4 linked regions of the Macaca mulatta genome follow. The protein of the gene in region 3 interacts with the protein of the main gene of each other region in a biochemical or structural test. Links are inferred from orthologs where the notes say so. Each region holds a gene or a part of one and is shown on either strand. Other genes may lie near its edges.

Region 1 (3,517 bases), about 75 Mb from region 3:
CGGCCTCGGCGAAGCGGGCGTGGAGGGCCATGGCGGGGTGCGCCGGCTCCTGCGACAGGTTCAGGTAGGCCGCCCGCCGCAGCTGCTCCTCAATCACCAGCGCCTGCTCCAGGAGCTGAGGGCACAGGGTTGGGAGGTGAAGGCAGGGCTCTGCCAGCAGTGAGTGAGTGGCGGGTGGGGGGACTGGACATAGCAGGAGACCCACCCTGCCCTCACTGCTGGCCCAGAGCACTCCTAGCTCCAAACCAACTGCGAACCTAGCATCAACCCTGACCCAGACCACACTCCCAAGCACAAGGTTACACTTTGGTCTTGGCTCCAAGCATCACCTCAGCCCTGAAGGTGTTAACCTTCCCTAGGTTCCAACTAGATCTGGCCTCACTTCTGACCCAAGCCCGTCTAAAACCCGTTCCTGTCCTCCCTCATTCCCACCTTGAACCTCCGGGCCAGGAACTTATTTTTCATCTCCAGAAAGTTCCCCTTATTGGCTTCAGTTTTAAATGGCTCGTTGATAATGGCAAATTGAGCATCATTCTGGATGTCCTGCCACCGTGCATAGCCATGGCTACCAATGAAGGAAAGGGAACCATCAAGGAATTTAACAGGAATGGGCTTGGCTTTGAACACTTCTTCCTTTTGGCCTGACTCCCCAAAGTGTGGCAGTAGCCCTGTCCCTGGGTGTGAAATCATCATCCTTTTTTTTTTTTTTCCAGCTTGAGAGAACCTTTTCCTTCTTGCACGTGTGTCAAAGGATACAGGACAATCCCAGCCAGAAGCCAGTAGTCGTGTCTTCTGTGCCAGATCTCATTGAGTTTGCCTGAGGAAATAGCTGCCCGTTCCTCATTCTGCCACAGTGTGTGAAGCTCTGCAAAGGCGGCAGCAGACAGAAGAAGCAACAAGGGTTTGCAGACTGCACTCAGTCCAACAGACAGGTACAGATGGGGAAACTGAATAATGAAAGGGAACTAAGGGCTCCTGAAGAGGAATGGGTAAAGGTTAGGTTAGGAGTTCGGAACAAACTCCGTTACTAACCAGGTTCGAGTTAGAATTAAGAATAAAGGTGGGATTAGAGCCAGCTTTGGAGTTAAGAGGGATACTTAAGAAAGATTTAGAGCAAGGATCGGAGTCAGCATGCAACATACTTCATTGGAAGTTACTTGGAATTAAAGGTAGCAGGAAGCCTCAGGCAAAACGAGAAACCCCATGAGGATGAGCAGATCCCCTTGAGGAGCAGAAAGCAGCGAGAGTCTCCCCAACCTGTGAAGCCACCATCTGCGATATTGAACATGAACCGGGGCTTCTCTGTCTTTTCCTCTCGTCGCCCATTGGACCGTGGCTCATCTCGAGGCCCTGGTCGAAGCTCCCGGTCACCTTTTACATCTTCTGCTAGGACAGACAGGTGAAAGCTCACACCTCAGGACACCCTCCTCCCAGGTCCCAAGACTACTATCTGTACTGTGCTGTCCTGGCCTTTCAAACAGCTACCCGCCCAGGACCCAAGCATTTGGTTCCCCAGACTCCACCTCCCCTGATGCCCTCAGGGACCCAGGTGTCCGGTCCTTCCACCCATTACCTCTCTTGCCCAAATCCCCTGCTTCCCCCTCCGGCCTCTCCCTGTGTTCCTGTCCATCCATCGGCTTCTCCTCCCCCCTTTCTCCTGGCGTCGACTCTGTGGCTGTGGGAGGGGGTAGGGGATAGGAAGGGAGGATGTTACCCTCATCCTCTGACCCCAGAAGAGGGACATCCCAAATTCTAATCCCCCATCACTCCTAAGGCCATGCACCCACCTGACTTCTCTCTGTCCCCACGGTACCCAGGTTCAAGCTCCATCTCTCCAGGTACCCCTGGCACCTCATCCTCTAGAGGAATCTTCCTTGGCTCCAGCCGCTCCCCGAGTGATGGGGCTGGGCTGGGGGCATCAACCTGTAAGAGGACAATGGGGTCAGGATGAGCTGGAGGGCTCCCAGGCATCTGGCCTCCAAGCCCCCTCCCCTCCCACTCCACAGGGGAATCCAGGGAGCCACACACCTCTGTGTCCATCTTCTCCCCAATTCTGCTGTTCTTCTCTGGCTTCTCCTCCTGGTTTTCAGCTTCCTCCTTCTCAAGAGGAGTCCTTATGCCTTCTCCTTTCTCACTTGGAGCTGGAGTAGCTGCAGGGGAAGGCACAGTGATAAAGACAGAGGTTCTCTTGCCCCGACTCCTGGCTCCCTTTCTGTCTCTCCCACCATCCTGATTTCTGATTACCAGGTTTAGAGGTGCAGGGACTGTTGGTAGCAGAAGCCTCAGGAGTGGTGGGAGACGTTTTGGTAGGAGAGGAGGCTCTGGAGGAGCGCTTAGAGTCAGCGCTGGGGTCGGGCATCAGTTCCGGCATTGACCAACGCCCATTGATGTGCTCAAACTCCTGCACCTGGGGTGGGAAGGACAGGTGTCAGCTCCAGGCACTTACAGACATACAGACAGGAAACTCCAGTCTCCTCCGTCTCACACCAGCGCGAGCTTACAACTCAGGGACAGAGGCAGAGGAAGGACAGAGACTAGGCAGCCAGCTTGATTTTTTGGGTGAGAGGAAGACTGATACCTTCTTCTTGACGAGAGACATGACTCCAATGCGGGTCAACACCTGCTGGCGACTCAGTCCCTCCCGAGGGACCCCATCGGCAAAGGTTTCAGAGCCGTCTGCCCCAGGCTCACACAGATGGCGCATGAACAAAGATACATAGGCCCTAAGAAGCATGGGGTGGGAGGACGGTTAGGGAAGCCACAGAAGGGGTATAGGGCAGTGAGGAAGATGCAAGGATGACTGAGGACCCCCAAGTCCCCAAATCCCCAGATGCTCCAGGGCTCCTCCCCTGGGCCTCTCACTCTCACCATTACCAGCCCTCCAAGTCCTAACCGTGCCCCTGCGCCCCATCCCTGGCCTATCCCCTTGGCCTTGGTACTTAATTCCTGGGCCCCATCAGTCAGCTCTTCATCCTTTCCACCAGCTCCTCCTGCCAGGTGATTGTGGCCAAGTAAATGTGAGGCTAGGACAGCCCAGGAGAGGTTCCTTGCTTCAACACCTCTCCCCTGGGGAGAATGCCTGGCCCCTCTACTCTAGGCTCGGCTGAGGGGAGGTGGGGTGGGCTGAGACCACCCCCCAGGAAATCGAGCCAGGAAGCGTTGTATGGCAGGGAGGGTGACAATCAGTTGAGTAAGGTCACATCATATGGCGGCCCCAAGGAAGAATGGAACACCCAAAGCTCTTACCCTTGCGTCCAACTCAGCCCTGTATCACCCACACTCACTTAAACTCCTTCTCAGTCTTGCCCCTCAGGTCCCGCACCAGCCACTGCGTGGTGAAGGCATCCTGTGGTGGCATCCCCCAGCGCATCACGGCATTGAGGAAAGCCTTCCGCTGACGGGTATTGAAGCCCAGCACCTGAGGGTGGGGGCAAGGAGGCAATGGCGACAAATGTCCAGGGTTCTTAGGTCTTGTCCTTTCTACCCTCAGTGATCCAGGCCCCAATTTCCAACCTTC
Region 2 (3,517 bases), on a different chromosome or scaffold from region 3:
CATCACCACCAAAGTCCCCAGAAGGTGGCTCATCCATATCATTCTTCCGCTGATAGTTTCGGAACATCACCTGACAGTGCAGCTCCAGCTTGGAGCGGAAAGAGAAAATCAGCCACCAAGAAGCTGTGTTCATTCTTTCTATCCACAAGGCTCTTTTACCACTATCCTATTCATCGTAGCCCCTACATCTCCAGCCTATCCTCAACTTACCTGCAATTCAGAAACCCAGGAGCAGTGCCAGTAAGACATGCCTTGCCATTTCACAAAGAACTGCCGCTCTGGCCGCCCCTCCAAGGGCTTTGGGGAGGGCGTGTTGGGATCAGCATCTGGAGGCCGAGGCACTGGTGTGGGAGATGGTGGCTGACCCCACTTCCAGATTAGGATCTTCTGCACTTTGCCCTTCAGAGCTGGACACTGAGGGAAAAAGAGACAACTTAATCTCAAATCGTAACCATGGGAGAAGGGACAGCCCACAGTCTCAACTTTATCAAAGGACGATTAAGATCTCATTTCAGGCCTGGAGCAGTGGCTCATGCCTGTAATCCCAGCACTTCGGGAGGCCGAGGCGGGCAGATCACGAGGTCAAGAGATCGAGACCATCCTGGCTAACATGGTGAAACCCTGTCTCTACTAAAAACACAAAAATTAGCTGGGCATTGTGGCACGCGCCTGTAGTTCCAGCTACTCGGAGGGCTGAGGCAGGAGAATCACTTGAACCTGGGAGGCAGAGGTTGTAGTGAGCCAAGATTGCCCCACTGCATTCCAGCCTAAGGGACAGGACAGAGAGAGACTCCGTCTCAAAAAAACAAAAAGATCTCATTTCAAATAAAATCTAATCCCAGGACTCCTCCAGGGAGAGAATACAGGTTGAGGACCTCTCATGTGAAATGCTTGGGACCAGAAGTATTTTGGATTTCCCACTTCTGGATTAGATACCTATCTAATCCTAACCTGTGATACAATTCTCTCTTCATTTCTGGACATCATCCAGGATTTCCATGCCACTATCACTCCTATCCGCTTAACAAAGCCAGTAGTTAAGACTTCAACAAGCAGCCAAAAGAATCAGGAAATCAACAGACTTAAAGCACAGAATTCCTCCCTTAAGCAATCTAAAAGCAGTAAGTGGCCCTATTAAACATTCTAAACTGGCTGGCACGGTGGTACACACCTGTAATGCCAGCACTTAGGGAGGACAAGAGAGCAGAATAGTTTCAGAGCAGGAGTTCAAGACCAGCCTAGGCAACATAGTGAGACCCTGTCTCTACAAAGATTTTTTTTTTTTTTTTTTTTTTTGAGACAGAGTCTTGCTCTGTCGCCCAGGCTGGGGTGCAGTGGCCGGATCTCAGCTCACTGCAAGCTCCGCCTCCCGGGTTTAGACCATTCTCCTGCCTCAGCCTCCCGAGTAGCTGGGACTACAGGCGCCCGCCACCTCGCCCGGCTAGTTTTTTGTATTTTTTAGTAGAGACGGGGTTTCACCGTGTTAGCCAGGATGGTCTCGATCTCCTGACCTCGTGATCCGCCCGTCTCGGCCTCCCAAAGTGCTGGGATTACAGGCTTGAGCCACCGCGCCCGGCCAGATTTTTTTTTTTTAATTAGCTGGATGTGGTGGCATGCACCAGTACTCCTAGCTACTCAGCAAGAGGCTGAGATAGGAGGATCACTTGAGCTCAAGAGTTGGAGGTTGCAATGAGCTATGACTGCACCACTGCACTCTAGCCTGGATGACAGAGTGAGACCCTGTCTCCAAAAAAAAAGTTTTTTAACAAAAAAATTAAAAACATTGTAAGCTACCAAGACCCTGAGGCAGGGTGTCAACACAGAGACACATGTTCTCAGCTAGAAGAACATTGCTTCATCTCCTCTTCAGAGAGCTGGCAAAACATCAACTCCTCTGTTTGAAGTCAGTCCTACATTTTCCCAGGACAAAAGTATCCCAACACTATAGGATAAAGGAAAACACCTTTCTCAGGGTTGAAAAGCGCACAGTTCCTCTCCCGCACCCCAGCTTCACAATACCCTACATAGAAAAGACTACACTTTCCACATCTATTGCCCTGGCTGAGATCAGTCACTCACCGTACAACGGGGACAGAGCCATTCACCGTTGGGGATCTCTGGAAGTGGGGGATTCAGGCAGTGGATATGGTAGGAAGAAGGACAGGTATCGCAGCAGAGCAGCTCCCCACCATCCTTGCAGACCCGACAGAATTCCATATGGTGGTCATCCTCCTCTTCGAGGTCTCCCCCAACCTCTTCCAGGATCTCCTCACCCTCCGAATTGTCCTCTTTAGCTTCCCACTGGATGCCTTCCTTCTCCTGCAGTAAACGACCACAGATTCAGATTATTACCCCCACCCACCCACCGAAGTCTGAAGCCAGTACCCATCATTCCTTTGAATGCTTCCCAAAGCTCACAACCCGCAGCACCAGCATTTCGATTTCCATCCAGGCCCCAAAGAGCTTTACTGTCCCACCCTTCTTCTCATGAGTTCCAAGGGGCCACAATGGCCAGACACTCACGCAGTGTGGGCAGCTCCACTTGCCCTCAGGAGCCTTCTCCATGTCGGGATCCAGGCAAACCATGTGGTAAGCTCGGGGACAGGTATCACACAGGATGATCTCACCGCCTTGCTGGCACACCTCGCAATAGTCCTGGTGGTCTGTCTCATAACCATCCACAGCAGTCACCTCCTCCTCGCCTGGGCAAGGAAGAGGGAAAGCCCAGTTATTAGAAAAAAACTACCTCCCCCCACCCCCAACCCCTATCTCCTTAGGGAGATTCTTCCCCAATCACTCCCACCTCATCCCATCACAAATATACAGAAAAGAAACACACCTTTCTTTTTCTTTTTAGTGGTTCGGAGTTTCTTGCGGCTGCGGCTACTACGGCTGGTGGAACCATCAGAAACAGAATAGCTATTGATACTGGCATCATCGAAGTCAGATTCCACATCTAAGTCATCATCCTCACTCTGACAGGATGAAAAAGAATAAGGTTAGACATTCAAGCCAAGGGGAAGGAAAGAGTGGCAGACAAGGGAGTGCTCTCTCACTGAGGATACCAGAATCTCAGCAAGCACTGTTATACAGGGAGCCGAGTCTCATCCTGTTCTGTGGGTAACTCCCCACATTCTTATGTGCCTACTATGAAGGACAGGTCCTGATATAAGGTCACATCCTTTCTAGTATACATGGCACCCTCCCTAAAGTGATGGGCTGGGCTCTCACCGAGGATCTCTTACGCTTAGAACCAAAACCTCCCAGCTTGATTTTCAGGGGAGCTACTTTCTTGGGTTTAGGCTTCTTGGCATCAGGTACACGAGGGCTGCCCTTGGGCTTCCTCCGAGCATTGGGACCTAAAATCAGGATACATCCAAATATATAAAATACCACATCACCAAAGATGGGAAAAGATCTTCCCCACATTCAGATGCCCAAACTTCCCTCCAAAATTCAAGACTCACTCCTCCCTCCTATCTCCTACCTTAGGGCTGACAGAACACCATTCCCATGC
Region 3 (4,158 bases):
GGGCGACAGAGCAAGACTCCGTCTCGGGGGGGAAAAAAAAAAAAAAAAGAATAGCTTCAACTCAGGAGGCAGAGGTTGCAGTGAGCAGAGATTGAACCACTGCACTCCAGCCTGGGCAATAGAACAAGATTCTGTCAAAAAAAAACCAAAAAAAAACAAAAAAAACCCCACGATTTACAAGGTAGATAAGTTCTAGCTTAAAAAAATACGGCAAGACTCCCATCTCAAAAAAAAAAATAAAAAAAAAGACTTCTTGGTCTGGCGCAGTGGCTCATGCTTGTAATCCCAGCACTTTGGAAGACCGAGGCGGGTGGATCACCTGAGGTCAGGAGTTTGAGACAAGCCTAGCCAATATGATGAAACCCCATCTCTACCAAAAATACTAAAAAAAATTGGCCAAGCGTGGTGGCAGGCACCTGTAATCCCAGCTACTCAGGAGGCTGAGGCAGGAAAACTGCTTGAACCCGGGAAGTGGAAGTTGCAGTGAGCTGAGCTCACGCCACTGTACTTCAGCTTGAGCAACAAGAATGAAACTCCGTCTCAAAAAAATAAAATAAAATAATAAAAGACTCTTAAGTAATTTTACCAAGTTCACTCTTACTTTCTTATAAACATAAAATTACATTTCCTTGGTTAAAAAAAAAACCAAAAAACAAGTATTGTAAATACAATTTGATGGATTTCTGGCACAGGACTGGAACCACATATAATACTAAGCAAATCATCCTAAGGGTTTTCATGAGCAAGCTACCAAGTGCACGATAAAACTGACATGCCAAGTACAAGTGCATATTCATCCCATCAAAAAGTCACTGTAGTATTATGCCAGGCTAGTTTTTGTTCCCATGAAAATAAGATTTTTAAAAATAGTTTTATTCAGTGGAAGTACACATATGAATTCCTCACCTGTCGTTCACAATAGGCTTTCATTAGTTTACTAAGTGGTGTATGCCTCTTAATCTTAAACTGCACCACAGAACCATCCTGCCCCGCCACCTTCAAATTAATATGATCGTTGTTCTCAGTCTTGACTCCTTCCTGTTAAAAGAAAAATAAAAGTATAATTTGGGAAATGTGATCAACACACACTTTTATAAAGCAGCAGCAGCCCTAAGTTGCTTCAAAAATCAACAGGTTTCTCATACGGTATGCTAAAACGGCATACGGCTGTTTTCAGCTGCTGAAATCAATGTGAAAGAGGAGAAATCCTGCAGCAACAGTATTAGATAGCTGTCAGATACAGAAAAGCCTACATGCAATACTATCAGTAACAACAATACATGTTTAAAGTTGGGTCCTATTCAGTGTATTGAACGTTCTCTTGAAGCTAAACTTTCTAAAATGGCATATATCACTCCCAAAATATATATTTTACCCCCAAAAAAAGTTAAAAATAAGAGTCTCTTTTCTAAGCACTTTAAGTACAACTGCAAGAAACAAAACAATAAATCTACAGCCTGCCATTCAAAACTCATTACCGTTGTCGTTAAAAAGTTACCAAACTCAGTTTAATAACCTAAATCCAATCTCCATTAAAGTAAACACACACACGAAAAATCGAAGAATATCCCGATTCCCTCCGGAACAGCGGTAATACTCAGGACCACAGTTACGTTCTCCTCTATTAGCAGCTTCATTTTTATCTTCGGTTAAGAGCACTTATTCTCCCCTCCCCTTTGTTGTCATGGGTCAAATACACAGTTTTATCCCAAGTGTTTCTTGTAGATTTCGACCCAACCTAAAGTTGTCCAAAATCGAGTGTAGAAGGCATGCTGTAGCCCTAAAACGCTTCAGAAAGTAAAGGCGCGAGAGGCGGGAGGTGTCACCAAACTAAAAGCAGCAAGTCCCGTGTGCCCCGATGATGGGTGTCCCCCAGTCCTCCCGGGAAGTCTTCGGGTGCCTCAAAAGCCGCATTCAAAAGTTAAGCCGCACAAAGTCTCTCTGCTCCTACCTGTGCCTCCAACTTCATGAAACCACATGGTCTTCGCGGATTAGGGGTTCGTTGGCACCCAGGGAAAAGCCGCTGCCCCTCCCCCCTCAGGTCCCTGAGGCCATTAAAGTGGGAAATACTCCACGGGAATCCCCCTACCCCCAGGCCCAGTACGGCGGCCAGCGGGCATCCAGGTTCCTGCTCATCAGCAGCCCATTGATTCGCCCCGAACCCTCGCCCCGCCGCCGCCGCCCCGGGCAGGAGTCCCCAGATGCCCGCGGTTTCTACCCCTGAGAGGTGAAGCCCGAGCCCAGGGGACTCCCCGCCGCCTCGGAGACTGCAACACCCGACGCGGGGTCGGCGCAGGGTGGAGACCCCGCGCGCCCTAACGCCCCTCCTCACGCGCGCCGGACGGCTGGGCCAAGAATCCCCGTTCGGGGCTGGTGGGCCCGCGGGCGTCCGCGATCTGCCCGCCCAACTCGCGCCCCGCGCGCACTCGGAGGCCGCCGGGGGCGGGAGAGAGCGGCGGGGCCTCCTCCGGCGCGGGAGGGAGGAAGAGAGGGAGGGAGGAAAATGGCGCGGAGCGCCGGGGCCTGAGCTGCGGCCGGCCCTGTGGGGGGCCCGGGAAGGCGCTGGGAGCCAGCGGCGAGCTCTGGCCGGACCCCGGCCCGCGCCCTGACCCCGACCGCGCGGCGAGGCGAAGGGGCCGGCGCCGAGCTCACCTTGGGCTTTTCGTCGGCCATGGCGAGCGCCGGAGTCTCCTCAGCTGCCGCTTCACAAAAGAGGTACCAGGTCCGCACCAAACGAGCACACAAGCAGCACCAGGAGCGGCAGAAGAAGGAGGCGGCAGCGGTGGACGAGGGAGAGGGTGCGCGCACGTCGTGCGCTCCCTCCCCCCACCCTGCGTGCGCGAGCACGAGCCGCCGGGGCCTCCCATTGGCTGGCGCCTCGCGGGAGCGCGCAACGCTTACATAACCACCCCCACCCCCCGCCCCGCGCCACCGCGTCCTGGGCCAGGCGCCCGCCCGGCCGGCGGGAAGAAGCGCGGACACGCGCACCCGGCCCGCCGCGGGGGCGCGCCTGGCTCTGGGCGGGGCTGTATTGTCCTCCTTCGTGGTGGAGCATAATCAAAATGGCTTCCAGCTGGTCCTCGGTGGGAACGATGAGGCTCGAGGCTTTAGACGTGAGCCATAGGCCAGGGAAGGCTGACTGACTAGAGGAAGAAGGGGATTCCTAAATCAAAGCCCCAGCATGAGGTTCTGGAAAAATCTCTCTCTTTCAGTGGACCAGCAGCCCTCCCATGGTTACTTCCTCTCAGTCAGTCTTAACCTGCTTCCCACCGGACTCTTGCCTCAAATGCAGTGTCTTCTTCTTTTTTTTTTTTTTTTTTTTTGAGACGGAGTCTCGCTCTGTTGCCCAGGCTGGAGTGCAGTGGCACGATCTCGGCTCACAGCAACCTCTGCCTCCCAGGTTCAAGCGATTCTCCTGCCTCAGCCTCCCGAGGAGCTGGTATTACAGGCGCACGCCACAACACCCGGCTAATTTTTTGTATTTTTCGTAGGGACAAGGTTTCCCCGTGTTAGCCAGGATGGTCTCGGTCTTCTGACCTCGTGATCCGCCCGCCTCGGCCTCCCAAAGTACTGGGATTACAGGCGTGAGCCACCATACCCGGCCTGCAGTGTCTTCTTCTGTCCTGCTGGTAACCCTAGACTTTGACTAGCTACGGGAAAATGTTCGTGTATTCATTCAACGAACTCCTTACTCATCGCCTATCTTCCAAGAGGAAACAGTATCCTTAAGCGAGAACTACCCAACAATCAAGCTTCCAGCCAATTTAATCATTTCCTCCTTGCATCCAGTTAAAACATAGACATGCATCCCTCCTGTCTGAAGAACAATCCAGTGTGTGCACTGGATTCCATCTTGCTCCTCCCCCTGGGCTTTATTATTTGCTTTTGTCCCTGAATTTTCTTCCTCTCCTCCGTTAGTATAGAAAAAAAAAAAAAAAAAGAAGAAGCTCTCAATTCTATTAAGTTACCATCCTATCTCTCTCCATTCTTGGCCAAACAGCTTGAAAAAATGTCCCTGCCAGCTGTCTCCAACCCCTCCCCTCCCACTCACTCCTCAACCCACTGCAATCTGGTGCTGTCCCCAAAGTTCCACTAAAACTGCTCTCCACAAGGTCACCGCAGACTTCTTTGCTGAATCCAGTATGCTTCTCAGTTTGT
Region 4 (3,517 bases), on a different chromosome or scaffold from region 3:
AGCAAATGTTGAGTGCTCAGGAAATGGTGGCCTTTATTATGAAGGAATCACTCCTTTGATACCACAGAGTGAACATGGTGGCTGGGAGGCTGGGAGCGAGAGCTAGGGTATCTGGCCTGGTTCTGAGGGCTGGTCTAAATGCTCCGCTTCTTCTGGCCTCCTCCTCTCTGAGACCCAGGAGTCCCAGTGACCTGCAGCCTTGCTTGGAAATGTATCTGTGAAAGCTCCAAAGCGAAGGCACTGGCCCACAGAGCTGAAATCAGTAGTTGAGAAGCACACAGCAGGGATCAGTCCTTCTTCCTAACTTGGTTACCTGTAGGATCTTCATTTACTCATGACTTTAGAGGCTGCTTTAAGGCTGGGGACCTGGGTGTGGAATGGAAGATACTATTTATCTGTGAGCATTCTTCCACTCTACCCATACTTCTAATAAACAGAGCATAGTTCTGAGCACAGTGGCTCACACCTGTAATCCCAGCACTTTGGGAGGTCAAGGCAGGCAGATCACAAGGTCAGGAGATCGAGACCATCCTGGCTAACATGGTGAAAAATACCAAAAAAAATTAGCTGGGTGTGGTGGCACACTCCTATAATCCCAGCCTCTCGGGAGGCTGAGGCAGGAGAATCGCTTGAACCCAGGAGGCAGGGGGTTGCAGTGAGCCAAGATCGCACCACTGCACTCCAGCCTGGGCGACAGAGCAAGACTCCGTCTCAAAAAAATAAAAATTAAAATAAAATAAACAGAGCATAGAATCAGTTCTTTTCTTTTGCTGCTCATTACTCAGAAAACTCAGGAAAAAACAAAAATACTTCTGTGAAAGTTTGGGGGCATAGGAAAGGTGGGGTATAGAATGGGCAGAATCTAGTCACAATCCCAGAGATGGGCAGAGTTTGACTGTGGGATGGAAATTCAGCTGTGCAGAATTGTGACCCTGGAGTTGAAACTGTCACTGCTCCCCCCTCAGACCAAAGATGTGACCAAGGCCATGGAAGAGAAGAAATTTGATGAAGCCCTGAAGTTGAGAGGCCGGTGAGGAAACGACGGGAAGCTCACTAGCTACAGAAATCAGATGCCTGAAGTCAAAGATCTCCATGACTCCAGGCCCAGAACATAAGCTTCTGCTGCTTCCTTTTCTGATTCTCTCTGCAGCAAGTTCTTGCCCAAGAAAGTTAGTTGTCAGGTGTCTGGAAGGATCAGTTCATCTCAGGGATGTGGTCCCTGGCATCAACCTTTTATAATCTGTTATTTCTATATGTGAGCCCCAGCTAGATGATAAGTTCCTTTAAGCAAGGGACAGTCTCTTGTGCCGAGCACAGTGCCTGGAGAAGAGTACTGAGCGAGTGTTGGATGAACTAGTGGCCCCTTTGCAGACCCTGCCCTGTCCCTGCTCTGCCCCAGTTCTGTCCTCAGAGGTTTGCCCTATGGAACTTCCCTCTGGGAGCAAAACTTCAGACCAGGATCCCCATGGCTGCTGGCTGTGGGGAATGGCCTGAAGACACCTTTCTCTATTTGTACTTCCTACAGGAGCTTCATGAACAACTGGGAGGTATACAAGCTTCTAGCTCATGTCAGACCCCCGGTATCTAAGGTACTGGCAAGTTGACTTGCCCTCTCCCCTTTTGCTTCTCACTCCCCCAGTCTCTCTTCATAAAGTGCTACCACAGTCCATACAACGTAAACCTTGCCAACTTCTCTGCCCCACTCTGATCTTCAGTGCTGGGTCCCTGGCCCTATTATTATGATTTTCTCTTAACCACCCCAGATACCAGCCCCCTTTTTAGTGTATCCTGGATATCTCTAACACAAGACCCATGCCCACTTCAGGACTGGCAAGATAGCATGCAAAGAATGGGAAAGAGAGCTTATGTACTTTTTCTCTGGGAATATCTAGGAATAATCACATCTAAGTGTATCTGAGCCACCTCTTCCATTGGAGTCGTGGTTGTCATTATTGAGTATATTATCAGAATTGTTTGGGTTGCTTATTAAACTTGCAAACTCCTGGGCCCCTCTCTCAGAGGAGATTCATATCTGGGTAGAGGCCAGGAATGTGCAGGTTTAACAGGCTCCCCCAGTGGATTCTGATGCAGGTGATCCAAGGATCACACTTTGGTAAGTGCTGCTCTGGAAGGTCTCTCATTGTATAATGTTGATATCTGAGATGGGGGACAGCAGCTTTGTTTATTGATCTGTGATCAAGAATTTTGCTTCCATAGTATGTGGTAGCAAGTTGTGCTGGCATTCCTTGGGAGAGGGGTGTGTGTTGTCTCAGGCAGATGTCCTGATCCCTGGATGACAAGGGTTCAGAGCTCTGCCTCCTTTACTGACCTCCTCCCTATTCCCACACTGGGTTTCTGTCCTCCTTTTTCCCCTGCTTCCTCCTGTATAGAGTGGTTCGCACACAGTGGCTGTGATGAATGTGGGGGCTCCGGCTGCAGGCATGAATGCTGCTGTTCGCTCCACTGTGAGGATTGGACTTATCCAGGGCAACCGAGTGCTCGTTGTCCATGATGGTTTCGAGGGCCTGGCCAAGGGGCAGGTATGGAGACTAAAAGGAAGAAGGGCACATATTCTAGGACCCAGGAGCAGTCATAGGGAAGATAAGTGTAGCAAGAATGACCTGTCCATTCTCTTGGCTTCCTCTGTTCCTCACTACCTCTCTCTCCTCTCTCAGGGTCCAGGCAGAAGTAGATATTTAATGTTAGGGCAGTAGGAACAGGCAGGAATTACTGGAATGCACCATTGCAAACAACATGTTCTATTTAATTCTCTATCCCAAAGCTCAGCACAGTGCCTGGCATAGGTAGATGCTTAATATTGGTGAATGAGCAGTAAGGGTAGAAGAAGTTCAGTGCATGGGGAAAAGCTAATACCTGGTGTACCTCTTCCAACCAAGGGGGATCCAGGGGTGGGGTTAGAACTCAAGCAGTGGCACCAGTCCCACACAGGCCTCCTAGTGCTTTAGCTTTGAGCAGAGCTCTGTGGCTTTTCCCCACAGATAGAGGAAGCTGGCTGGAGCTATGTTGGGGGCTGGACTGGCCAAGGTGGCTCTAAACTTGGGACTAAAAGGTAAGTAGTACTGCAGAGGCACCTCCTCCCAGTGACCTCTTCAAGTTGCCCTTGGATTTGGGTGTCAATTCATTATGCCAGGGTCTGCTTCAACCACCCTGTTGTCTGGGTCCTCCACCCCCAACTTCACAGTTGCTGCCATGAGGGCAGACATGCCCATCTCAACATCTTTCAGCAGCTCTGGCAATTTAGAACTCCAGTGTGTATCCTTGGATAGGACTGAGAGGGTGGGCTAGGGAGTGGGGCACAGGTCAAGAAATTAAAAATAAAGTGCCTCTAACTCTAGCTTTTCTCTCCCTCAATTTTCCTGTCTCTTCCACAAATTCCCATTCCTGTCCCCCCCATCACTGGTCAACTAGGACTCTACCCAAGAAGAGCTTTGAACAGATCAGTGCCAATATAACTAAGTTTAACATTCAGGGCCTTGTCATCATTGGGGGCTTTGAG

What was found. The genes of interacting proteins can lie anywhere in the genome.
Region 1: the proteins of SUMO2 (region 3) and CHD3 form a complex in vitro, tested with the Homo sapiens proteins (2 studies listed by BioGRID, with this or other methods). The link is inferred for Macaca mulatta from reciprocal best matches to the Homo sapiens genes SUMO2 and CHD3.
Region 2: the proteins of SUMO2 (region 3) and CHD4 form a complex in vitro, tested with the Homo sapiens proteins (2 studies listed by BioGRID). The link is inferred for Macaca mulatta from reciprocal best matches to the Homo sapiens genes SUMO2 and CHD4.
Region 4: the proteins of SUMO2 (region 3) and PFKM form a complex in vitro, tested with the Homo sapiens proteins (2 studies listed by BioGRID). The link is inferred for Macaca mulatta from reciprocal best matches to the Homo sapiens genes SUMO2 and PFKM.

What each region holds. Positions count from the first base shown.
Region 1 is NC_133421.1:9,412,995-9,416,511, reverse strand, and holds part of CHD3 (chromodomain-helicase-DNA-binding protein 3), read right to left. Parts: intron 3,419-3,517; coding exon 3,285-3,418; intron 3,153-3,284; exon of another isoform or gene 3,014-3,152; intron 2,724-3,013; coding exon 2,579-2,723; intron 2,408-2,578; coding exon 2,245-2,407; intron 2,151-2,244; coding exon 2,029-2,150; intron 1,924-2,028; coding exon 1,788-1,923; intron 1,676-1,787; coding exon 1,574-1,675; intron 1,387-1,573; coding exon of another isoform or gene 1,384-1,386; coding exon 1,258-1,383; intron 866-1,257; coding exon 757-865; intron 566-756; coding exon 433-565; intron 116-432; coding exon 1-115.
Region 2 is NC_133416.1:7,550,669-7,554,185, forward strand, and holds part of CHD4 (chromodomain-helicase-DNA-binding protein 4), read right to left. Parts: intron 3,360-3,517; coding exon 3,232-3,359; intron 2,976-3,231; coding exon 2,840-2,975; intron 2,703-2,839; coding exon 2,524-2,702; intron 2,320-2,523; coding exon 2,080-2,319; intron 415-2,079; coding exon 211-414; intron 89-210; coding exon 1-88. UniProt on the Homo sapiens protein: ATP-dependent chromatin-remodeling factor that binds and distorts nucleosomal DNA. Acts as a component of the histone deacetylase NuRD complex which participates in the remodeling of chromatin.
Region 3 is NC_133421.1:84,873,411-84,877,568, forward strand, and holds the start of SUMO2 (small ubiquitin-related modifier 2), read right to left. Parts: upstream 2,803-4,158; 5' UTR 2,674-2,802; coding exon 2,653-2,673; intron 1,039-2,652; coding exon 907-1,038; intron 1-906. UniProt on the Homo sapiens protein: Ubiquitin-like protein that can be covalently attached to proteins as a monomer or as a lysine-linked polymer.
Region 4 is NC_133416.1:55,251,474-55,254,990, forward strand, and holds part of PFKM (ATP-dependent 6-phosphofructokinase, muscle type), read left to right. Parts: intron 1-965; coding exon 966-1,030; intron 1,031-1,525; coding exon 1,526-1,589; coding exon of another isoform or gene 1,590-1,595; intron 1,596-2,390; coding exon 2,391-2,540; intron 2,541-2,999; coding exon 3,000-3,070; intron 3,071-3,429; coding exon 3,430-3,517. UniProt on the Homo sapiens protein: Catalyzes the phosphorylation of D-fructose 6-phosphate to fructose 1,6-bisphosphate by ATP, the first committing step of glycolysis.